Rattus norvegicus: one gene and its partners. The protein of the gene in region 3 binds, or shares a complex with, the protein of the main gene of each other region. Links are inferred from orthologs where the notes say so. Each region holds a gene or a part of one and is shown on either strand. Other genes may lie near its edges.

What was found.
Region 1: Cul3 (region 3) and Kbtbd8 share a complex: the UniProt entries of both Homo sapiens proteins name them as parts of the BCR(KBTBD8) E3 ubiquitin ligase complex. The link is inferred for Rattus norvegicus from reciprocal best matches to the Homo sapiens genes CUL3 and KBTBD8.
Region 2: the proteins of Cul3 (region 3) and Klhl3 are in contact, whole or in part, in a crystal structure (PDB 4HXI), measured with the Homo sapiens proteins. The link is inferred for Rattus norvegicus from reciprocal best matches to the Homo sapiens genes CUL3 and KLHL3. Residues at the interface, in NP_003581.1 of Homo sapiens: Ile44, Asn49, Ser50, Gly51, Leu52, Ser53, Phe54, Glu55, Leu57, Tyr58, Arg59, Tyr62, Thr63, Leu66, Lys68, Met118, Asp121, Ile122, Met124, Tyr125, Arg128, Val129, Gln133; in NP_059111.2 of Homo sapiens: Pro73, Tyr74, Ala77, Met78, Asp82, Met83, Ser84, Glu85, Glu92, Ile93, Lys94, Asp95, Pro125, Ser128, Leu129, Gln131, Met133, Arg136, Asp160, Val161, His162, Thr163, Thr165.
Region 4: Cul3 (region 3) and Kbtbd4 share a complex: the UniProt entries of both Homo sapiens proteins name them as parts of the BCR(KBTBD4) E3 ubiquitin ligase complex. The link is inferred for Rattus norvegicus from reciprocal best matches to the Homo sapiens genes CUL3 and KBTBD4.

Annotation. Positions count from the first base shown.
Region 1 is NC_086022.1:129,238,519-129,244,443, forward strand, and holds part of Kbtbd8 (kelch repeat and BTB domain-containing protein 8), read left to right. Parts: coding exon 1-858; intron 859-3,878; coding exon 3,879-4,342; 3' UTR 4,343-5,925. UniProt on the Homo sapiens protein: Substrate-specific adapter of a BCR (BTB-CUL3-RBX1) E3 ubiquitin ligase complex that acts as a regulator of neural crest specification.
Region 2 is NC_086035.1:6,628,542-6,634,466, reverse strand, and holds part of Klhl3 (kelch-like protein 3), read right to left. Parts: intron 4,846-5,925; coding exon 4,728-4,845; intron 4,329-4,727; coding exon 4,131-4,328; intron 2,543-4,130; coding exon 2,441-2,542; intron 1-2,440. UniProt on the Homo sapiens protein: Substrate-specific adapter of a BCR (BTB-CUL3-RBX1) E3 ubiquitin ligase complex that acts as a regulator of ion transport in the distal nephron.
Region 3 is NC_086027.1:89,114,706-89,121,241, forward strand, and holds the start of Cul3 (cullin-3), read right to left. Parts: upstream 3,723-6,536; 5' UTR 3,634-3,722; coding exon 3,568-3,633; intron 3,558-3,567; exon of another isoform or gene 2,273-3,557; intron 1-2,272. UniProt on the Homo sapiens protein: Core component of multiple cullin-RING-based BCR (BTB-CUL3-RBX1) E3 ubiquitin-protein ligase complexes which mediate the ubiquitination and subsequent proteasomal degradation of target proteins.
Region 4 is NC_086021.1:97,341,651-97,347,579, reverse strand, and holds the end of Kbtbd4 (kelch repeat and BTB domain-containing protein 4), read right to left. Parts: intron 5,100-5,929; coding exon 4,993-5,099; intron 3,535-4,992; coding exon 2,674-3,534; 3' UTR 1,981-2,673; downstream 1-1,980. Other genes in the region: Ptpmt1 (phosphatidylglycerophosphatase and protein-tyrosine phosphatase 1), read left to right, coding at 1,243-1,377. UniProt on the Homo sapiens protein: Substrate-specific adapter of a BCR (BTB-CUL3-RBX1) E3 ubiquitin ligase complex which targets CoREST corepressor complex components RCOR1, KDM1A/LSD1 and HDAC2 for proteasomal degradation.

The DNA.
Region 1 (5,925 bases), on a different chromosome or scaffold from region 3:
ATGGTCATCAGGAACTTGGAGATCGATCGAAAGAATACATCCGTAAAAAGTTCCTGTGTGTCACCAAAGAACAAGAGTTTCTCCAGCTGACAAAAGACCAACTCATAAGCATACTAGATAGTGATGACTTAAATGTAGACCGGGAAGAACATGTTTATGAAAGCATTATAAGGTGGTTTGAACATGAGCAGAATGAAAGAGAAGTACACCTTCCAGAAATTTTTGCCAAATGTATACGTTTTCCTCTAATGGAAGATGCATTTATTGAGAAAATTCCTCCTCGGTTTGCGCAGGCCATAGTCAAAAGCTGTGGAGAAAAGGGACCATCCAACACCAATGGCTGTACTCAGAGGCTTGGAATGACAGCTTCCGAAATGATCATATGTTTTGATGCTGCACACAAACACTCAGGAAAGAAGCAAACAGTGCCTTGTCTAGATATAGTCACAGGAAGAGTGTTTAAACTATGCAAACCACCAAATGACCTAAGAGAAGTTGGGATTCTTGTATCACCAGATAATGACATATACATTGCAGGAGGGTACAGGCCAAGCAGCAGTGAGGTGTCCATTGATCACAAAGCAGAAAATGATTTTTGGATGTATGACCATTCCACCAACCGATGGCTTTCCAAGCCATCCTTGCTTCGGGCCAGAATAGGCTGCAAACTAGTATATTGCTGTGGTAAAATGTATGCAATTGGAGGGCGTGTTTACGAAGGCGATGGACGAAACTCACTGAAGTCTGTGGAATGCTATGATAGCAGAGAGAATTGCTGGATGACTGTTTGCGCCATGCCAGTTGCAATGGAGTTTCATAATGCTGTGGAGCACAAAGAAAAAATCTACGTTTTACAGGGTAGGTAGCATAAGGATTCTTCATCAAAGGGTTATGTTTATATGGCAAGGGTGGTTTCCTTGACGATAGCAAAGCAGGCGATACTCCTAGTAGTACTTAATACTTCCTAACCATAGACTGTGCTAGAACATTCACGTAGAAAATCAAGGTCAAAAACATTTAAATTTTTAAAATATTTTTAAGTTACTGAAATGGTTGGTCCTTTGTTTTTGAGTTATGTTCAGATCTCATATAAAGTTTTTAAAAGCATAATAAGTAATAGTTTATTACTGACTACTTTGGAGCATTTTAAAATAAACAATAAGCAAAGGCTAATCACCCGGCTATTTTTGTTCTTTAATAATATAATCAAGAGACTTGGCTACAACTCTTTTATAGAACTTACTGATTGAGTTTACTGGAATTGACTGTTCATTTACCAAGGAGCTTTGTTTTTCTTCCAAGGTTTATTTTTCTTTTATATGTCTGAACATTTTGCCTGCATTTATGTCTGTGTACCAGGTGCATGCCGTGTTCACAGAGGCCAAAGGTGTTGGATCACCTGGAGCTGGAGTTATAGACAGTCGTAAACTGCCATGAGGGTTCTGGAAGCTGAACCCAGGTCCTCTGGAAGAGTAGAGCCGCAAGTGCTTTTAAACACTGAGCTCTATTTCCAGTTCTACCAGGTTTTTGTTTGTTTTGAATCTTATGTAGGCATTTTGCTTGAGTGTATGCGTATATACCACATGCATACTTGGTGACTGCAGAAGCCAAAAGAGGAGAACCCTGGAACTAGAGTCACAGATGGTGTGAGCTGTCCTGTGGATGCTGAGATTTGAACTTAAGCCCTCTAAAAGAGCAGCTAGTGCTCTTAGCTGCTCACTCACATTCCAGTGCCCACAAAGAGTTTCACTAGTTATGAAACTTTATTACAAAGGCTTGAGATTATCATCTTTAGATCTTAGCTTTTTAAAAATTGTATGTATACGAGTGTGCAGGTCAGACATTATTAACATTGGCTGTTTCTATTGTTGGCCACCTTATTTTTTGAGACAGGCTCTCACAGACACTGGAGCTTAACAATTAAGTCGACTAGCTTGCCTCCAGGTCCCTCAGGAGTCTGACTTTCTTTGCTTTTTCACTGCTGTGGTTATGTAGGTGTGCCACCGTGCCCTGCTTTTTCATGGATCCTAAAGGTCTGAACTCACATAGGTTACATTGCAAGCACCTGACCTGCTGACCCCCAGTCCCTTTACATTTTCTAAGAATATTTTAGTTGTTGGAATTTTGAATGCAGTTTAGATTATTCCAAAATTCTTATTTACTATGTTTCTTAAGGGATTATATTCACATATTTCCTTATATGACTACTTTAATAAATCAGGAACAATGTAGGTTTTCATGAAAATATACATGATTATTTTTAAGCTCTATCCCATTTTTAAAAATGATATTCTTTGCTCTAATCCTTTGACTTAAAATTTCTCAGAGAAGCCCGGATATGTTTGATTTAAGTTGCTTATTAATTTTGTAGAATTAATTAAGGTATAGTACTAATGTACTTTAGTTAAAATGAAAGCATGGTTTGGATTTATCTTTGTAAAATATAGGAATGGTTATATCTAGTGTGATGAAGTGTGAAGTGTGAAGTATGTCCCACCCCCACCCATATGTGGTACTGGCAAAAATAGTTTATAGAGATAATTTTAAGGCTCCTAATTGGAGTATGTAGGCTGTATATTAATGTAAATATTATAGCAAAACAGCAATAACTTAATACATTTATGCACCAGAGCGAATAATTTGTAGCCAGAGGTATAAGAAATGTGTAGACAACTGGGTCATATAAGATGTCTTAACTCCCATGTTCTTTATCAAGAACACCAGAATATAAGTCATAGTAGAAAGAAAAGGTAATATGCAAGCAAAGGTTAGGGCTTAAATAAAAGTGAGGTTGAAACGTCACTCTTATTAAGTATGTAATTTAATCTATAGATGAGAATGTCCTTACTTTAGAATAGTTTAAAGGGAAGCTTTACTTAGACTCTAATATTCTTTTCTAACCTACAAAACCTTCTTACATATATAACCTGGTGATAACTGTCAAAGAAGGTTATGTCTTACAGATTGAGCATTCCTAATGTAAAATGCCAAAATCTGAAATCTGAATTTTGAAATTCGAGACTTTTTTGATGTGGTTCTACATTTTATACCCAACCTTATAAGAGGTCACAGTCTAAACGCAGGCACTAAAGATACCGTAGTAATCCGTGTTTTGACATGGAGTAATCCCCAGGATATTTATGTACATGTAGATACTCTGAGATCTGCAGTACTTAGAGTGTCAAGCACTTCAGAGAGAATATTCCAGCCTGCTCTGCCTATAACTGCCTGTCTCTAGACTCTAGTCTCCATAGAGCTGTTACCTACTATCATGAGACATTATTCTGTGTTCCCATTAAGCTTCACATAGCTGCCCATACCTCTAATTCCCGCTCTTGGGAGGGTAGGGTAGGAGGATTTCAAAGTGAAGATGAGCCTGAGTTCAGGCTAGAGACCTTATCAAAAAACAAAGCAGTGTTATATCATTAGCAAGATCTTGGCAATATTCACTATTTTAATTCTTACAGACATTTTCCTATTGACAGTCTGGCTCAGTGCACACACCTTTTTATTGTCAGTTTAGAAGAGTAACTGACTATCAAGTCCATAAATTGTTTGTTGTCTTTGCTTTATAACAACATTGACATAAACACACGAGTGACCACAAGTTCAAATCTAAACAATTCCATATGCTATTTTCTAACCAAGTACCACACATGTATGTGATGTATTTTTTATGGTTAAGTTGTATGTGTTCATGTTGCCTGCCTTACTCCTCCTGGGTCATACATCCCAGTGCAGATTGGGTGTAGTATTACTGTTACTTTGTATATTCTAGGAGTCAAGAATTTGGAAGGAAAATATTGTCTTCTGAGGTTGGAATTAAAGATACAACTAAACATGAAAATGTACATAATTGTTTCCCTTTTCTTTTTTAGGAGAATTTTTCCTCTTCTATGAGCCTCAAAAAGACTACTGGGGATTTTTAACCCCCATGACTGTGCCTAGAATCCAGGGCTTAGCGGCTGTGTATAAAGACTCCATCTACTACATAGCTGGAACCTGTGGAAATCATCAGCGTGTGTTTACTGTTGAAGCCTATGATATTGAGCTAAATAAATGGACTCGAAAAAAGGACTTTCCTTGTGATCAGTCTATAAATCCATACCTTAAGCTGGTACTTTTCCAGAATAAACTTCATTTATTTGTGCGAGCTACTCAAGTGACTGTTGAAGAACATATCTTCAGAACCAGCAGGAAAAATTCTCTTTACCAGTATGATGACATCGCTGACCAGTGGATGAAAGTGTATGAGACCCCAGATCGGCTGTGGGACCTTGGCCGCCATTTTGAGTGTGCAGTGGCTAAACTCTATCCTCAGTGTCTTCAGAAAGTTCTTTAATAAATAGCAGGCCAAAGCACGTCACTGGCATCTCTCATACTAAGGAAGCTTGTTTAGGAAATGCTGTCAACATTGAAGAAAGCTAACAGTTTTGTATTCAGAAATGGGTGCTCGTAAAGATAGTGGTGTTGGGAGGGATTTGCTTTTACCTTCATGATTTTTTCATTTTAGTCAGGAAAGGTAACAAAGTGCAATTATCAGCATTTTTCCACCCCTGGCATAAAAGTATCATCCTAGAATTTTGTGATAAATAGTTGCTGAGAAACCAGGTGAATTCAAGACAACTATGCACTCTTGAAAAGCAGAGTATTCCTGGGTAGAGAAATCCAAACTGGTTAACGTGACTTTTTATTTTAAATACGGGTAACAATATGAGGCAATATCATTTATTTAGCTGTGATCTCTCTAACACAGAGAAGCACTAACTTAGATCCTCAGTCTTACTATTTATATCTATTTACATATATATTTTTGTGTGCTGTTTTCAAGTGTACGAGATTTAAATGTGCTCTGTCAGACTGAAGGAAAACTCAGTTTTCAGAACGAACTTCAGATTGTTTCATATTTCTCATGTAACTTTTAAGTTAAGCTACAAGGTTAAAGTGGCAGTTTTTCTGTCCATAACTTTTTCAAGTGCTAACACTGTCTCATTAAAATCCCAGATAGGGCTCAGATTTGCAGGTGACTGGTGCTCGTATAAGTTAATTCACGTGTCGTTAGATTGATTTAAATGGTTTATGAGTCAATGTTTCTCTTTCGGATTAGCATGCTAGTTCCATGGTTGTGGCACTTTACCTTGTGACTCCACAAGGTCTGCTATTTGTGTGATAGGATCTGGCCGATGGCCATTAGTCTAACTGGATTCAGTTTTACAATTCCAAGTTTGCACTAACACGGGCTGTTTTGTTGCCCAAACTTTTTCCATCCTCTACCTTTCCAGTCATTGCTAGTATCGTGAAAGTTAACTAATACTGTGAAGTTTTAACACCTACTTACAAAATTCTGTTTTCCAGAAACAAGAGTCTTGGAGTGGTCTAATAATTCAGTGGCTTCTAAGGTTCCTATGACAGTTACAACCTCTATTTTTTGCACTCAACAGTGATGAATATTTGTATGTTGAGACACTTGTATCTGAAGGTGATGTAGAAGGAGGGATGAGTTGAATGAACAGAGTCATAGGTTTCTGTACTCTAGGTACTAAGGCGCTGTTCATATTGAACTGATAAGTGTCTCAAAATTAGTTAGGAATATTAACATTAACTCCTTTTTTACCTAAGGCAGGCATTTAGGTTGACAACATACTCATTACTATTCCTATAACTGATAAAGAATATTACACATAAGGCAGAGCCTGTCCTCAGAACAATTTTAAAGAGAATCAGTTTGATTTCTCCTGAAGAAAATTGGCATGGTTTATATTGGGAATAAAGTCTTACACGAAGCGTGCGGTGATAGATACTGTGAACGAATGGAAAGCATAGCCTCTTGCATCACATACCTCCTTTTCCAGAAACTGTAGACTGCTTTACAGCGGCCCTGCAAGCGGAGAGCTCTCTGAAGCAGTTCAAGTGGACAGCATTCGC
Region 2 (5,925 bases), on a different chromosome or scaffold from region 3:
GCATCAGATCTGATTACAGATGGTTGTAAGCCACCATGTGGTTGCTGGGAATTGAACTCAGGACCTCTGGAAGAACAGTCAGTGCTCTTAACCACTGAGCCATCTCTCAGCCCTGATGCTCCAACTTAAATCCACTGAGGTACCTCTGTCTCCTCCTTCCGGGAGGACCTGGCTTGCTCGCCACACACAGGGCACATCTCCCCCCACATATCTGCCTTCTCTCTGCTCTGAAGCCCCAAGATGCTTAGAAGCAATGCTGAAGTTTCCTAAAAGAGGGCCCAAGCCCTGGGTGAAGCGTTCTGTGTGTGCCCAGGGCTGAGGCAGCTGGGATTTTTCTGCGAGCCAATTACTTTGTCCTCTGAGCCACATACGAGAACCCTGAAGTATCATCAACGTTCCTAAATAAAAATAATGCTGAGCTCCTGTGGGGGAAGAGTCATGTCCATCTGAGGCTGGGAGCTGAGAGCAAGGGACAAGGATTCAAACACATGGGGTTTAACATATAGTATTAGACAAGGTAGGAGAGTTCCTTCTGTGGGGACAGGGAAAGAAGTCCTACTTCACCTATGGACCTCAGATCTACAGGGTACTATGACACCAGCCACAGACCAAATGGACACTAGCTGCAGGCTAAATAAACCCAGGGTTAGAATTACCTAATCGAGAATTTAGGGGGCATTATATGAGTCCCTAACATAGTGGATGTGAAAATCCACAATTACACTGTTAGCTTCTCAGGTCCAAAACGGCGCTGTACCATCAAGTAATTCTATATTGCTGAGCTGCATTTTTCTCCAAGTCTTTTTTTCAGGTGACCTTTCTGGAAAAGAACTCCTGCACAGCTCCTCCCTCACAAGGTCAAATCACACAAACAAATTCACCTAGGCCGCTCTCCCCTCGCGTGCCAGCTCAGGTGGTTCCCATTTTTAGGAGAGTTCTGCGACTCTCCCTCTGCTCTGTTGAGCATTTCTGTCCACGCTCCAACCCACATCATAGCTTGCCCTTACGAGGGATTCTTCTAGGTGGCAATGAGCAAATTATCCCCTAGTGGTTCAGGGTCATTCAGACTGCATGACCTTGGCAAGGAGAGGGCGTGCCGGGAGAAGGAACTGTGCAGAAAAAATCTGAGTCCTCGGCAGTTACAAAGCACAGTCCACTCCAGTGCCTCCTACACGTTCTTAGAAACATTTTCTGCTCTCTTGAGGCAGCACACACAGCCCACAGGGTGTCAGGTGCTTTCCTCCCGGCTTCCCTCTACGTCTGCGGGGCAAGCCATTTGCCTGCACTTCCGCGACTGACACTGACACAGCCCCTGTCGTGGGCAGTGTTTTCAATTTCTACCATCAAGACACCTTCGCTAACCATTCCCGTCAACCATTCCAACCTGGTATCGGCTAAGCAGCCACTCAAGGTCTCTCCCTGAGTGTATGCGCAAGCGTCTGCTGTTTTTAACCCTGGGTCTGTTTGCCGTTCCTGCCTGAGGAACAAGAAGGGAAATGAGAAGCTAGCTAGACAAAGCTCTCGGATCTGGCTGGCAAATCAATGTCTGCCTCGTCAAGAGGATACAATTTGTCCGGATAGAGGGACGGAATCCTGGCCTCTGCATGGGTACTGAGCCCACAGCTCCTACCTATCAGCAATTGAGACCCGTCTCCGGATCCAGATTAGGAGTCAGAAGACCTTCAGGACTGCTCTGCTATTTACTATCATGATACAAGGACTCCATCCTCTGAGTTCTTCCGGAGGGTTTGAAAGAATAAGAGAAAGATGTTTTAAGAACGTCTGGCTAAGCCTCCGATCTGGCCACACCCTCCTGCCTAAGCCACACCCTCCTGTCTAGGCCACACCCTCCTGCCTCGGCCACACCATCCTGCCTAAGCCACACCCTCCTGTCTAGGCCACACCCTCCTGCCCCGGCCACACCCTCCTGCTTAGGCCACACCCTCCTGCTTAGACCACACCCGACACCTAGCCTATCCCGAGACATGTCAGACCTGAAAAAGAAGCAGCCCGTCTTTCTCATGACCCCGCTAGCATGCAACACATGAAGGTGAGCAGAGTGTTAGCCAAGCATAATTATCACCCCTCCCTGCTACACTGTGCCCCAGTTTGTGTGTGTCGACTCTGGGCTCCCTACTTATTTCCCATTCCCCACAGTTAGCAGAGATACTTACAGAGGTGCCCAAGGGACAAGTTCTCACTTCCCCCCAAGTCTCCTCTTTCTCCCCCAACCTGCTAACCCCTTCTTAGCATTGGCCCAGGAGCATTCCCACCAAGTCTCGGCCCTCCTTGTCTGTTTACTAGAGACAAGGAACTTAACTCCGGCCAGTGACCTGAGGAGTGGAGTCACAGTAGAGGGAGCATCAAGCAAAATGCTGTACTCAGGACAAGACCCACGGGCTAGGGCAGGAGCAGCCACCACCCTCTGCGACCTCCTTACCCTCCACGACACCCACTCCCACGCTGCTCCGCCTCGTGTTCATTGGGGCCACGAAGAACCACTCATTGGTCTTGTAGCTGTAGGCTTCTACGGATGCCAGCCCTGGGGAGAAGAGAATCATGGGATTTCTATAGCCGCAGACCTCACCCTGACGTGTAAGGGACGGTGAGACTGGGAAGAGACCAAGACAGGGCTACAGACTTGATATCCAGCGTGGTACACCTCTGCCTAGCATGTGGCCACAGTAACTCCTCAATCTACGTAAGGTGAACACTGACCACCAAGACATGGCATGCAGGGAAGCGGGCAAGATGGGAGGGGTCCATCCCAACTCTGCCGTAGATGTGAACCATTAAACTTTCAGAGTGGAACGTTTGTAAGACCCGAAACAAATACCTGAGGATGCCCCACCGGGCACCGGTCCCGACCTCCCTTCTATGTCTTCTATTTTACAAGCTGGATGACTAAAAATATATCTCCCACGATGCCATGCAGCTAGGTGACCCTGAGCCCTTGGCAGAAGTCTGATGGAGATTTCTAGGATGCCCTCGGCATCTCCGATGCAGGGGTGACCCTTCCTGTTTCTTGCTACCAGGGACACAGATGTCCTGGCTGGAGTCGTAACAACTATAGGGTTATCACGGGGGAAGCCAAGAGAATCTTATGGAATTTGGCCCCAGTATCTGTGCGCAGTCAGACCAAATTGGGGACAGTGACCTCTGAACTCCATGCCTCCTCTCTGGAGCAGTGCAGCAGTCGGGCAGGTTTTCTCCTCAGCGGGAGAAGTCCTGCTGCAACAACCATCTGTGTCCTTCCTAGCTCATGCTCACTGAGGAGCCGTCAGAGAGACGTTCAGTAGAGAAAAACAGACAAACAAACAAAAAAACACTGCGTTTACCGCCCTCAGAGCCAGAGACTCCACTGTGGATGTAGTCGCTGTCTTCTGTAACCTGCCTGGCAATGTGAGCACAGATGGCCTCTCTCCAAACTCATACCCACTAACCCTTCAAGTTGAAATGTTTAAAATTATTTTATGTGTGTTGAGCGTTTTCCCTGCATGTATGTCTGTGCACTACGTATGTGTGGTGTCCATGGAGGCCAGAAGAGGGCATCGGATACTCTGGGACTGGGATTACAGATGCTTGTAGGCTCCCACGGGGATGCTCGGAAATGAACCTGGGACCTAAGGAAGACGAGCCAATGCATGTGTTCTCTCTCTCTCTCTCTCTCTCTCTCTCTCTCTCTCTCTCTCTCTCTCTCTCTCTCCCTCCCTCCCTCCCTCCCTCCCTCCCTCCTCCCTCCCTCCTTCTGTCTCCTTCCCTCCCTCTCCCTCTCTCTAGACCCCAGGTTGAAAATTTGAAGTGAGATAAACTGTGGGAGCGAGGGGCCCCTGCACTGCTCTGTGGGACAGTAGAAAGGATGATGGCGGGGCTGGGGATTTAGCTCAGTGGTAGAGCGCTTACCTAGGAAGCGCAAGGCCCTGGGTTCGGTCCCCAGCTCCGAAAAAAAAAAAAAGAACCAAAAAAAAAAAAAAGAAAGAAAGAAAGGATGATGGCCTATCGGGGTACGGTGCATGCTCTGAGACAAGCACCTCAATCCCTGATCTTAAAGTCGCTCAGCTGCTCAGTAAAATGCTCAGACTAGCAAGGTTGCCCAGAGAAGTGGTTAGGGCAACAGGTCCTGGTCTTACCCGTACTGCCGTCGAAGCCTCCAACCGCGTAGAGAAGGTCATTGAGCACGGCCGCGCCCAATGTGCTCCGGCGCTCCTGCATGCTGGCAATGGATGTCCACTGGTCCTTCACACCGTCGTACACATCCACTGTCCGCACCCGAAGGGAGCCGTTAAACCCGCCCACGGCATACACGTGGCCTGCCATGAACACCACACCTGAGACACAGGAACATAGGGCGTGAGAGTCGGGGACGGGGATGACCGCCCAACCTGATGGGTGACAAGGTGGGCATAGGACGGGCTCCCGGGGAGGCCGCCGCCGGCTTGAAATACCCGAGAGTGACTATGGGACTCATCTCCTCCCAATTTGTCTCTCTAACTTTACCTGGTTTGTGCAAATTCCAGAATCGGCTCAAACTCACGAGTGCATAAGAACTGACCTCAATGCAAGCAGCACCTCGGTGCCAGCGAGAAGGGGTGGGGGTGGGGTGGGGTCTGCAGAGATAAGGAGCAAGGCTTCATAGCCATCACGAGGCACAGCCATCACTGGGCACACACCAGCTGGGGACGGGCTGCAGGGAGCCCAGGTGAGTCGGGGCTGGCCAGGGCTCGTACCTGCTCTGCATCTTCTGGAGGGAAGCTCGGCTATCTGGTCCCAGCGGCCCTCCTCAAAATCATAGCACTCCACGCTGCGGATCGCCTTGGGTGCCTGGCCACCAACCACAATCATGACCTCAGGAGAGACAAGTGCACATTAACTAACACGCATGGGAATGATGGCCAATCCGATCTGTAGCCCTTCCGTGTGCTGCCAGACAGGAAGAGGAAGCATGGGATGGTTAGTATATGCTCAGCCAAGGGAGGGGCACTATTGGGGGGTGTGGCCCGGTTGAAGTGGGTGTGGCTCGGTTGAAGTGGGTGTGGCTCTGTTGGCGTAGGTGTGGCCTTTTGTTGACATGGGTGTGGCCTTTGTGGTGGGTGTGGCCTTGTTGGGGTGGGTGTGGCCTTGTTGGGTGGGTGTGGCCTTGTTAGGGTAGGCGTGTCACTGTGGGTGTGGGCTTGGAAACCCTGGTCAGCTGCCTGGAAGTCAGTATTCTCCTCACAACCTTCAGATGCAGATGTAGAACTCTCAGCTCTTCCTGCACCATGCCTGCCTGGATGCTGCCATGCTCCCGCCTTGATGATAATGGACTGAACCTCTGAACCTGTGAGCCAGCCCCAATGAAATGTTGTCCTTATAAGACTTGCCTTTGGTCATGGTGTCTGTTCACAGCAGCAAAACCCTATGACTAGGGGATGGGGACGGGTGGGTACAAATTCAAGAAAAGCCTGCACACCAAGTAAAGTACAAACATAGGCCCACACCTTCCAGACACCCAACGTGGGATACTGTAGTAACAAAAACATCTACAAGCTCAGTACCCATATGGGGGTGGGGCACGATTTTTATACTGAGGCAAGCAAACATATTTGGGGTAGAAAGCACAGACTTTTAGATTTTTTTAAGAATGATATAATGGCACAAAACATTTCTAAGCATCTGGACTGCAGAGGATACCTATCACCTATGGTAAGGAAAAGGTAATTTCTAAACACTGTGGTGGTTTTGGTGGCTGTCAGAGTTACTTAGCTGACAGCGCTCTGAAAAGAAATGATACATACAGTATGGGGTTTTTTTTCCTCTCCTACAAGTAAGGCTGTGGCTGACACAGCCAGGCATGTGATGTGGGCTGTCATTTGCTCGTCACTGTGACTGACAGATGAGGAATGTAAAGTCCAGAAACCACATCTAAATGGCCAGAGGTCACTCAGC
Region 3 (6,536 bases):
CTACTATATATACAGTTTAGATAGTTTTCTGTACCAAGTACCTTCTCTAGGAGGAAAAAAAACTATCAGGAAGATCAAAGATGTCCCTTAAATCTGGCAAATACTTATGTAGATAGAAATATAAGAAAAAGACATCAACTATATACCCAAGCCCTTATCTCTTCATGCTCTAATGACTGTCACAAAACATCTTAACTTTTCTGTCATTTTGTGGGCACCATTTGCTGACCATGTTGCACAGGTGAAATTCATCTACAATCATGGAGATTACATCAAGAGTTGTCCCTGTCCCTGTTATAAGCTTTATAATATTAACTGACATTACTTCCAGGACTCATGGTAGCAGTTTTAAGAAAAAGGTCACAAAGTAGAAGTGATTTTCACAGTGTCTCCTAAATCTAAGGATAACATTTTCATTCAATAATCACATCTCCAATTCCAAGCAAGCCTGTTAAAAGCCCACAGGAACAAAAATTCTGGACAATGCATTGAGGAATGGCTTTTCAGAAAAATGTTAACCCAACAGACTATACAGAGCTAAGAATGCATGACTTAAGACACATGGTGGGGTTGGGGATTTAGCTCAGGCCCTGGGTTCGGTCCCCAGCTCCGCAAAAAAGGAAGAAAAAAAAAAAAAAAGGACACATGGTAACAGTGAGGAAAGTATCTCTCCCAAAGGAATTACTTGGCTCAAATCCATACACAACCTCCTTTCTTAATAACCTTCTCAGTTCCAGCACTTAAAAGTGTCCCCTGCTCATGAAGAGGGCCAGAACTTTGGTTCCCAGGACTGGAATGGGTAGCTCACAAGGGTCTTTAATTCCAGCTCCAGGGTATCTGACCCCACTGCCCTCTGCAGGCACCTGTATTCATATGCACAACTGAACACACATAATTTAAAAAAAACTTTTTAAAAAATTACCAACAAAAAGATGTATAATAAGCAATACTCTACATAATGAAGGGAAGTCTAAAAATTAAGAGATTAACTTTTTTCTGTCAACAATTAAAAATACAGAAATTAATTATTTTAAATAAATTTTGTAGATTTACTTAAATTGAGGGGGCAGGAAAAAAACTGTATTAATTCTAAGTTAATACGGTGTAACTTTTACTCTGCTTAATAATGTGACAGCAAGCTTAAAATATCCACTAAAAATGTAAGGAAAAAAAGTAAAGACCCTGATTTATATGGTAACTTTTATCAAAAGTACTCATCTATTTATGAAATATATCCTGTAAGTTAACTTACCACTGTTGTACAGTGAAAACCAACAAGTCTAAACTTATTTCATTCCTTTTACACATCCATTTTGTAAAAAACCTGAAATGAGCAACTGAAACTTGATTAGTTTACAGTCTGCCATAAACTATGGGTAACAACATATTCACATGGTACAACATATACCAGTTGTAAGAACATATATGTATAAGCAAATAATGGTATGTATTTCTGTGTGTGAAATACCACATACTTACAACTTCTAAGAGTCCATGTGGGCTGTACTTACTATATACAAGACATCTAATCTGAATGAAAGAAATCCTGACAGCCTAAGGATGCACTTCCCAGAACTCAATGAAGTATCACTGGGGCATTATCTAGCCTCAACCATGGCTGATTATTTTCAACGGGAACAACCTATGGTTATTTACTTACGAACTAGAAAACAAACAAAAAACAAAACAAAATCTCAGTTTCAATACTAGCTTATCACACACTATTACCATCTTCAGCTAATGATACAAAATTCTCTTCCTGCTTCTAATCCCCAATGCTAGCTCCAGAAAACACTGATCTTTTCCTTTTTCACATCTACTGCTAAGTCCTAAAGCTCTAGGAATAAATAGTACTGCATACAGTACTCAGTATATCTTGGACCAATGATGATTTCTCTACAGGTTCAAGTAGAGAAATCTAGAGATCAAAGAGTTGCAAACACAGATAAAGGTAGAACTGGTTACTCTGAAAAATATTAACTGGCCAAATATAAGCTCTTTCACTTTTTACCCAACAACAAAGACTCCAAGAAACAACAGAACCAAGAGCAAACATTTCCTAGAAAAATCAGTGTCACTGTTGACTTAAAAAAAAAAAAGGCAAAAAACAAGACAAAACAAAATCCCAACTAAGTCTGAATTCTGCTATAAAAAAAAAAAAAAAGAGGGAAGGATTCGGATTTGACAATCACTTGGGTGGTTGATTCAGTAGGGAAATTAAGCTCATAAACCTGGCTCACTGTCCAATTACAAAGGAAAACATAATAGTTACCTTTATTAGCGCTGTTTTTCCGGCATTTCTCACTTTCTGATGTAATCTCTTATTTAGAAAAATCACTCATAATGCAACTAATATCAAAATACCTCATTCACCCAATTATGCCCTACATGTTTACATAGAGCCCATTTATTTACATTAAGGTGCAAGTTTCTACACGCTGACACTATGTCCCTTGCAAAGCCACAATTTTGCATCGGTTGTAACTTCTTTGGTATGAGGAATTCAGAGGCCCTCAAGTTCTCCAGGTCAAAGTTACTTAACTCGTGGTCTTTCCTTTCCTCACAGCAAAGGGTACTTCAGGAAAAGCCTGCTCAAAAAGTGATGACAAAGGCCCCCTTTCCCTCCCACAGGACAGAATGCTTATGAGCCTTTGATGGGGAAAACAACTTCCTCCAGTTTTACTTTTAAAAATCTGCTCCACTGCTGGTTTGTCTATTTGACTTTTACCTGTTACTGTAGCGACATGAGCAAGTACGTCCAGTTTGTTACAACAGGACGTTTTAATTGCCTGCCACTGGCTATCTGATCGAGGCAAGACATCCAAAGTTACATACACTCCATCTACTAAACACCGCAAGCCTATGACTCAACGTAACGCCAAGACGAAAAGTTTCTGAAGAGAAAACGTTTGCTGTCGCTAAAGACGTACAAGGTAAAACAAGTCTGAGTGGCAACTATTCTTGGGGACTTCCTTGGCTAAGACACGGAAAAGCAAGAGCTCCTTCTGTGCCTGGCCCTTCAAAGAGTGGAGGGACGATTCTGAACCCGAGTGGGTCAAGTCCTTAGGAGGCTTGCAGGATCAAAGATGCTATAAATACTATGCTCGCTGCTAGTAGTGTTTTGCCAGTGGGTATTTCGTGGCATCTCTGTCAGTGAGTGGGGCAGTCGGATGGCAAGACCGCTCCTGACTAAGGAGTCGGGCGGAGGTGGACGATCCTTCCCCACCACCGTAAAAGCCAAGCCGGGTCCTTCTGGAAACCGCACGCTAAAAGTTACACACACGCCCCACGCGAGGGGTGCGGCGGCGGCAGCGCGCATCCCCTCAGGGCCGCGGCACCGAGGCCGGCGCGAAGGAGGCCCCGAGGCGGCCGGGGCGCGGGGAACGGCCCGGGAGGTAGCCGCGCCGGCCCCGCGCCGCCCCGTTGCCGGGAAGGCTCGCGCCCCGCCACCGGCGGCGGCCGTGGGGGAGGGGAGGCCGGCTGCGGCCTGTTGGCGGAGTTCAGCCCCGGCCTCGCGTGCGGCTCCCGGCCGCGGCTCCGGATCCCGGGCGCCGAGGACCGACTCACCGGAAAGGCCCGGATCCGCATCTTGGTGTCCTTCCGGCTGCCCGTGCCTTTGCTCAGATTCGACATGGTGCTCGGCCCCTCCCCGGCGGCGGCGGCGGCGGCTGCGGCTCGCACTCCGAGGCGCCGGTGTCACATTGAAGGCGGGAGGGCGGCCGCGGGGCTCGGCGGGGGGCGGCGGCGCGGCCCCCGGGCTGGGCTGGGCGGCGGGCCGGCCCCTGGGCGGCCGCGGCGGCGGGGGCGGCGGCTCGGGCTCGGGCGGCTCGGGCTCGGCCGGGGGCTGCGCTGGCGCGGCGGCTCCGCGGGCTTCCCCTCGCGCCGGGCTCGGCTCCCTTTATCGCGCTCCTCCGCGATGGCGGCGGCGGCGGCGACGGACAAACATCTCACTGCGCAGGCCGAACGTCCTCCTCCTCCTCCTTCTCCTCCTCCGCCTCAGCGAGACGAGATCCGGCCCAGAGGGTGGAGGGGGGAGGAGGGAGGGAGGAGAGCGGAGAGTGGAGAGATGGGGGGAGGGGGCGGGAGGACGGGAGGGGAGGCGGGAGGCCGCGGCGGGCACGTCCGATCTCGCGAGATCAGGGCGGGCGCAAGGCCGGGGGCGGGGCGGGGCGAAGCCCGGGAAGGGAGGGCGCGGGGAGAAGTAGGGGGGGTGGGGGGAGTTAGGAATGGGCGTAGTCAGCGCCCTGGGGGCGGGGCCTGGGGCAGGAGGCGTAGGCTGCGTTTTCAAAAGAGGAGCGTCGGAGACCCTGGTAGGCGGAGGTGGCTTCTGATTGGTGGAGCGCGAAGGTGAGGTGTCACGTGGGCAGTGGGCGGGGGAAGTTCCGAATGGGAAGTGGGGAGTGCTCTGTTGTGGGCTGGCGGGGCTGAGCTTGGCCCGAGCGGATTGCAGGTAGTCAGGGGAAAGGGTGTGGGGTGCGAGTAGGAAGGCTCCTATGTCCTAGAACTGTTCCTGTGTTTTTCTAGGGCACGTGGCCTAGGGATGGGTACTTGATCCCCGCCAGAAACCTGAAAGCAGTGTTTGTGCCTGAGTTACCTGCAGTCTATGAAACCAGTGTCCTGTATTTAGCTAGGTGTTGCAACGCCTCAGTATTGAGTCAACCCGGCTTTCTTACACTGCGCAAGCTCCGGGGCTTGTTGATTAGTTGGTACTTTCTGGAGAATCCAGAGCCCACTAATGTTAAAACCCGGTTTTTGTTTGAATTGAAATAAAACAAGTGCCTGATGTACCACAATATTTGTGTTAAACATATGACCATTTCCAAGAGCAGTATATATCATTAAAACCAAAATCACCGTGGCATTAAGCTTGCTGTAGGTTTGGAGACATTTTTTATTTGTTCGGGACCTCTTTTATCATCCTATAGTCGAAATGTCCAATTCTACTGCCTTTTGCTTCTAATTCAGAATGAATCCTACTTCTGATTTACCTACTTGCTCAATTGCTGTTTCCAACGACGCTGGGAAATCTGAGATTCTCCCAAAGTTTCCGATCTTCCCATTTTGAATGAACTGTTGTTAAGATTAACAGCCATATTTGAAAGCTGAGCTCTAAATAAAAAATGGAAAACTCGATAAAGCTTGTTTACTTATGGTTGAATTGACCCTAAATTATTTGTAATGTCTAAGCTTACAGAGTTATGCATTTGGGCTCTCGCTGGTTGAAGTGCCCCTTTGAAAAATAAACTTAAAGCAAAAACGTTTAATATTTAAAACAAGCTTAAGGAGAATGTTGCTTTTGCTAAGCTAAAAATAAAGCATCAAGAATGAGTTAAGTAAAACAAGGAAGGACTCTGATGAGTAAGTGATGCATAGGTGTTTATAACTAGTATGCTACCTGATCGTCATTTCCATAATTATCAGAATATTGAAACCTTTTTCTATTGGCTGTCCTGTCACATGACTCTTATTAAAAAATACATTTTTTGAGCCTTTGGCTTTAATCTAAGCTCTGCCACTTTATCAACTGTATAACTTTCCCTGAAAAAAAGAAACTGCATGTTCTCTCTCATGAGAATAAAGCCAATAGTATTTGTAATATGCAGTCAAATGTGCATGTGGGTATGGAGAAGGAAGCAACACTGGATATGGAAGGACTGAATGCACACAAGTTATGAAGAAGGATAAAAGTCTTATTTTTAGTTATAATTCTGTCGTGGGATAAAAGTGTAAGATTTTAATGTGAAGCTGCACAGCTTCCCCTCTAAATGCCAAGTTCGAAGATCATCGAGTCTGATGAAGGTGGTGTTTTTATTTGCAATTTAAAAAAAATAACAAAAACTACTATTCTACATTGAGAGGTTTAGCCTTATGAAAAATAGCACATTGCCCTAATCTTTCTCATTTTTCCATGAACTTGGGGAAACAACCAAAACCTAGAGGAGTTAACTACCTTATGACCTATCTATTCACTCGTAACTATGTGACCACTTTCATTTGCTCTACAAACACAGATTTCCATGTTTGCGTTACTTAAGCAAAATTTAGGGGCATTTAAAAGAATCACTGTCAACTCTTAGACTTTTTAACCACCAAAAAAACTACAAAAATTTTTCAGAATTAATATTATTGAGAAATTTGCTGATTTATTTGTTCATTCATTCAGTTGTTCAAATATTTACTAAGTTGCTACTATACATGTGAAGTACTAGAGTGCATGAATGAGTTGGGCCCCACCATCATAGAGCATAAAAGTCCTTTTCTATATCTCACAATTAGGAACCACAAACCCAAGCTGAATGGAGCAATAACTTACTGTATACTTCAGAAATCAGAGGGGTTTTTTTTCTTTCTTTCTAGGGAAGCAGCGTCCTGAAAAATATATATGAAAAACACTTCTATATTGGTAGACCATTCTTCCGTGCCACGTGGTGATCCCTGACTTCCAAATAGAAGATGACCTTACAAGATACTATCTTTTTGTGCAAGCAGGCCACCTTCCCAGCAGAGCAAGCACACTGCAGTAAAACACACTAGAT
Region 4 (5,929 bases), on a different chromosome or scaffold from region 3:
TAATACAACAGAGTTCTAAATCAGTGTGCATCCTTAAAGCACAAAGTTAACACTCCTAAATTTAAAAAGTACTCATTTTCCTAGCTATGGTGATGAATTACAGGAAAACAACTGCCATAGGTTGGTATGAGTTTGTGGGTATTTTGTGTCAAAGTCTTTTGTATTATAGGCTGGTCTCAAAGTCATTTATGTCCGTGAGCATGACCTTAAACTTCTGATTCTCCTGCCTTCCCTACAGTCGTGTATCAAGGCACCTAGTGTGCTTGGTGCCGAGACTTGAACCCATATGCTTCATTCAGGCCTGGCAAGCATTTAACCACTGAGCTACACACACACACACACACACACACACACACACACACACACACACACTCACTATATTAATATTATATATAATATAAATATATAAATATAGCAATTGTTAAAATCCTAGTTCAAAAAGGACAGAGTAAACCTATAAAATCTGGGGTTTCGGCTTCATGTGGGATGTAGGATTTGCTGACTGAGGTAGTTAAAAGTGCTCTCATGAAACCTGTCCTTTTGTTTTTTGACAAGGTATCTGACATTGGTCTGGCTGGCCTCAACCTCTAGAACTCCTGTGCTCATGTGACGCTCCAGCATACTACACTAGCAAAGGAATGGTTTTGTTTTTTTGTTTTTTGTTTTTCCCTTTTTTTAGTTCTGGGCATTGACCCACGTGATTTAAGCATGTTAACCAAATGCTCTACCATTGAGCTATATCCTGGGCATTCTTTTTACTAAACATGGTTTCAGTAAGTCAGCTAGGCTGGCTTTGAACTATAACTCAGACAAGCTTTGAAGTTGTGGTCCTCCTGCCTCAACTTCCTGAGTAACTGGGCTTACAGGCCTGTACCTTTTAGCCCAGCTGGAACATGATTTTCAAATCCCTCTACTATGGAATCTTCATTTACTTGAAGAAAATTGATTACACATTACTTAATTTATATGTGCAAGTGCATGTGGTCATGTCTGTGCCGTGGCACTCACTGGAAATCAGAAGACAACTTGCAGGAGTTCTCTCTTTTTACCATGTGAATTCCTGGGACTCTTGGTCATAGTTGTCAAGCTTGGCAGAAAGTTCCTGTACCCACTGAGCTACCTTGCCAGCCCGAATCTTTTTAAAGATTAATTCTGAGAGTCCTTTAGCACCTGCTCATAGGCCAAGGGCGTTGTATAACTGCTCCTCCTTCTCTTGGCTGATCTTCTAACCTTGTACTTCAGGTACACAACTGGAGCCCAGAGGAGGCTATAGAAGCTATCGCCAAAATCCGGTCACACATCTCCATCAGGCCCAGCCAGTTGGAAATTCTCAAAGAGTTCCACAAGGAGATTGCTGCAAGGGCAGCAAAGAACTAACTACTGGTCTCTTGTGCTGACATGAGTATGAAGTCTGTGGATGACAAAGAACTTGGCTCTCCGAGATACAGTAACATGTTAAAGGACAAAGCGCTTAAGCCACCACCACTGCAAATGTGCTGAGTATAATGTCCCTCCTTTGCCTTCCTTCCTGAAATAACACTTGGATGGCCACAGAGAACAAGATTGTCTGGCGAAATCTTATTTTCTTTGACAGAGATAAGGAATACTAACTTTAACAGAAATCTATTGTGTTTCTGGTATATGTGATGTAAAGCAAAGCATTTAATGCTAGAAAAGGGAAGAAGAGCATAGATCTGTTCTTTGTTACTGTCAGATCCAAATTTTAATTGTATGACTTGGCAAAATGCTTGCCCAGCATGTATAAGGTCTCGAATTTGGTCCCTAGCAGTTCCAAAAATAAAAATAAAAATAATCTTACTTCCCTGGTCCTGTGGGACTCCCCTCACACTTCTGGGGCAGTGATCAGAATGTTAAAGGATATATGGGGTGCTGGCAGGATTACTGAGTCAGGAAGGAAGAAGTCTACAATTAGTTTCCCTTCAGAAGCCACCCATTCAGGAATCAACACAGACACACATATCATTTCAAAAGCTTTTATTTGTATGAACAGTTCCTAACTCTTTATTTAGCTTAGAGCCTTTAAAAGACCAGAGACTGTTTATATTTGAGTTTAGAATACAGTTTCTGCTATTAATCAGAAACAATTGTTTCTACTTTCTGGCTTATCTGTCTGTATAAGCCAAAAATCCAACCAAAGTTTCTTTTCCTGACAGATGAGGAAACATCTGAAGGACATCCTGAATTGTACAGTTGATTCTTGCTGGTGAAGTACAGTTTTAGCTTAGTCCACTGTCCCATCCAAATCCTGAAGGGAAACTCTCATACTTAATTCTCTGTGGAGCAGTGACAACTCGCCACTCTGCTGGCTATAGACAAAAGGAACGGGCCTGTCTTCCTGCATGGGACCCAAGGTGCTTCTTTTTAACACTGATCTGGTAAGGGGGGCTGTGCCTAAGTCTGAGAAGAGGCTGGCTCTAAGCAGTCTGAAGTGAGGCACAGGATCACAGGGGATAATGGCAGAGTTCAAGCAGCAGTAGAATGAAAAGCCCTACACATAGCACCCCATGAGCCTTGGGGTGGGCTGAGGCGCTCGCTGCCTTCCTCCTGTATGCCCAAACTAACACATTACTCTGAACTGGGGGATTTCAGATTTGACTGGGGATACATGACGAGGGGAGGGCAAAGGAGTCAGCTGTTCTTCTCATCAGTGTTTTAGGCCAACACAAACTGCAAGTTGGTAAGCAGCACCTTAATGCCTCTTGTGACAGTTACAGCTGAAGTGGCAGGGTCGAGCTTATAGGTGTTGGCATCTCCCTTCTTATATCGGTCCCTGAAGACGTAGATGCTTCCATTACAGCTGGCAATCTTCCAGAGGGATGGGGCAGAGCTCCAGGCCTCAGGAAGACAGAGCCGGGTAAAGCTGTCTAGAAGGGGATTATAGCACACTAGAGAGTCCCCCTCAGCCACAATGAACACCAGATCCTTATGCACTGCTGCGTGCATCCGGCCTGCAAAGGGTAGTACATAGGGCTTCACATGGCACTTGTCAGTTTCTGTGTCAAAGCACTGGATAAGTCGGGAAGGTTTGGTAAAGAAGTCTAGATCATTCTCCTCACCCCCTAGTAAGTAGATGATTCCATTGAGGTTGGCACCAGCGGCCCCAGATACAGCCACCTCTAACTGAGTTGTCTCTGTCCACACGTTATCACCTACCCGATAGTAGATGACTGCATTCGAAAGGGTATCCTGCAGTGTCTTGCCACCCAGGGAATATATGGCATCCTTCCCAGGCACAGATACCAGGGTATGCTGGAGGCGGTCCCGGGGCAAAGGAGCACACCACTCCCAATCAACAGTGGCATTGTTACATTTCCACATGCGTCGTGGGATGGACCCTCCCACTACATACAAGTCGCCACCATGCTTGCAGGCTGCAGTGATCTGGTGGCACAAGCTGTTTTGGCCACTTACACTGATGGAGTCATCTTCTGCACAGTGCAAGGACACAGCCAATGAGTGGGTTCGAGATGACTCTTTCCCAATAAGGTAAATGTGCACATTCTCCCCAATTTCCTGTTGGCAAAATTGAAATTCTGATGTCAGCTCATGTGAAGACTCTACTAACACAGGTATCCTTAGAGGTCCAGGCCTCACATCCTGACTATCCCTTGATTTTCAGGGGCAGAGAATCTGTTTTGTTCATCTTTGCAATTTAATTTATTTATATATTTATTCAAATAAGATCTTGCTATGTAGAACAAACTGTTCATGCTTAGATTCTCCTGCATCAGCCTCCAAGGGGGATTATAGGATGCACCACATCTGCTCTTACTGCTTTTGGTTTTCAGTGTTAGGAATTAAACCCAGAACTTCATGACACAAGGCAAGCATCTTAGCAACTGAACTGCATCTGAAGTCAACTCTGCTTTTGTTTGTTTATATTTATTTATTTATTTTTTAAAGAAGATTTATTTATTTAACGTATATGAGTACACTGTCACTGTCTTCAGACACACCAGAAGAGGGCATCAGATCCCATTACAGATGGTTGTGAGCCACCATGTGGTTGCTGGGAATTGAACTCAGGACCTCTGGAAGAACAGTCAATGCTCTTAACCACTGAACCATCTCTCCAGCCCCTTGTTTTTATTTTTGAGACAGGATCTTATGTAACCTATGCTGGCCTTGAACTAACTATGTAGCTGAGGCTGGTCCTCAACTTGCACTCATGTTTAAGCCACTACAGCTTATTAGAGCTGATGAACTCAACAGTGAAAGCAGTTCTTTCAGAGAAGATGGCAAAAGCTCTAGGAACTTTGAAGGTCTCAGACAGACGGCTTGTGGGACCAGAAAACACATCTGACTCCCCAGTTCTTAGGAACTTCAAGCTAGTAACTCATCAGTGGCCATGAAAAGAAGCAGGCCAGAGGCTTGGAAGATGGTCCAAGGGACTAAGGGCACTTTCTGTACAAGCATGAAGACCTGAGCATTCTCACAAAATCTCTAGCATCTACATAAAAAGTTAGGCATGGTTGGACATGCTTGTAACCCCAGCTTTGAGGGAGCAGAGACAAATGGGTCCTGGGAATGTGCTGACTGGCTAGGCAGCCTAGCCATCAGTAAACTTCAGTTAGAGACACTGACTCAGGGGCAATAGGGAAGAGAGTGGCAGAGGAATATCTGATAGCTTACTGTCTACATAACCACACCTCTGCATGCATGCACACACACGCACATACACACACACACACACACACACACACACACACACACACACACTCATGCCAGGCCTGGCTGGACTAGTGAGATGGTTCAGCAGTAAAGCTGCTTGCCCCAAGCCTGAGGACCTGAGTTTGATCCTTGTGACCCACATAGTGGAAGGAGAGAATTGACATCTGCATGTTGTCTTCTGACCCCAACACGTACACCAAAAGATACACATTTCCCCCTGCTCAAAAGAGAGAAGGCCACTGAGGGCTGGAATGCAGAGAGACTATGGCACCCCATCCTTGAGAATAAAATGTGCCTTACCTTTAAGCTAGTCCTGAGTGACTCTGCAAAAGCCTCTCTTTCTTCTTTATTGAAATTGATCCAAGCGTCTATTGCCTCTGTCGGGTTCTGGGAACATGGAACCCCATCTGTGAGAGCCAAAGAAAGAACACAGTCAATGGCAATATTACTGTTTTATTGGTTTTTTTAAAAACTATTTTATGTGTGTATGCTTTGTCCGCACATGGCTGTGTACCACATGTATGTCTGGTATCCACGATGGTCAGAAGATGGCGTTCCTGATGGGAACTGAACCATGGTCCTCTGTAAGAATAACAATTGCAAGAGCAACAAGCCATCTCTGCAGTCTCATCAATGGCAATCTCAAAGGGGGTCCAAGGGGAACCACAGCTGGCTGTAGTAGAGCATGCCTCTAATCCTAGCACTTGAGGGCAGAGGCAGAGGCAGGCTTATTTCTGTGAGTTTAAGGCCAGCCTGGTCTACATAGTGAGTTACATGCACACAGGCAGGACTATATAAAGAGACACTGTCTCAGAAAAGAGGCCTGAACCATTTTATTAGACCACCATTATATGTATCTGCTTATGCACACGTAAATATGACGTTAATCTGAAATTGCCCCAGGACTACCATGCTGCAGTGCTCAGACTAGACCCAGAGTTCCATGTACCCCAACTCTACCACTGAGTCATACCACTAGCCCTGCCTGGCTTTTTAAGAGAAGCGATGACACAATATGTCACAGTAGTCACTCATCGGGCTATGGAGTTCACATCTAAAATACGGTGCCACCTCACTTGTTACCTAAGATTATTACCCAAATGTTTCTTATTTTACATTTTTTGTTTTTTGTTTTTTGAGTCAGGGTTTTGTTGTGTAGCCCTGGCTGTCCTATAACTCACTTTGTAGACCAGGCTGTACTGGAACTCACCGGTATCTGCTTGCCTCTGACTCTGGG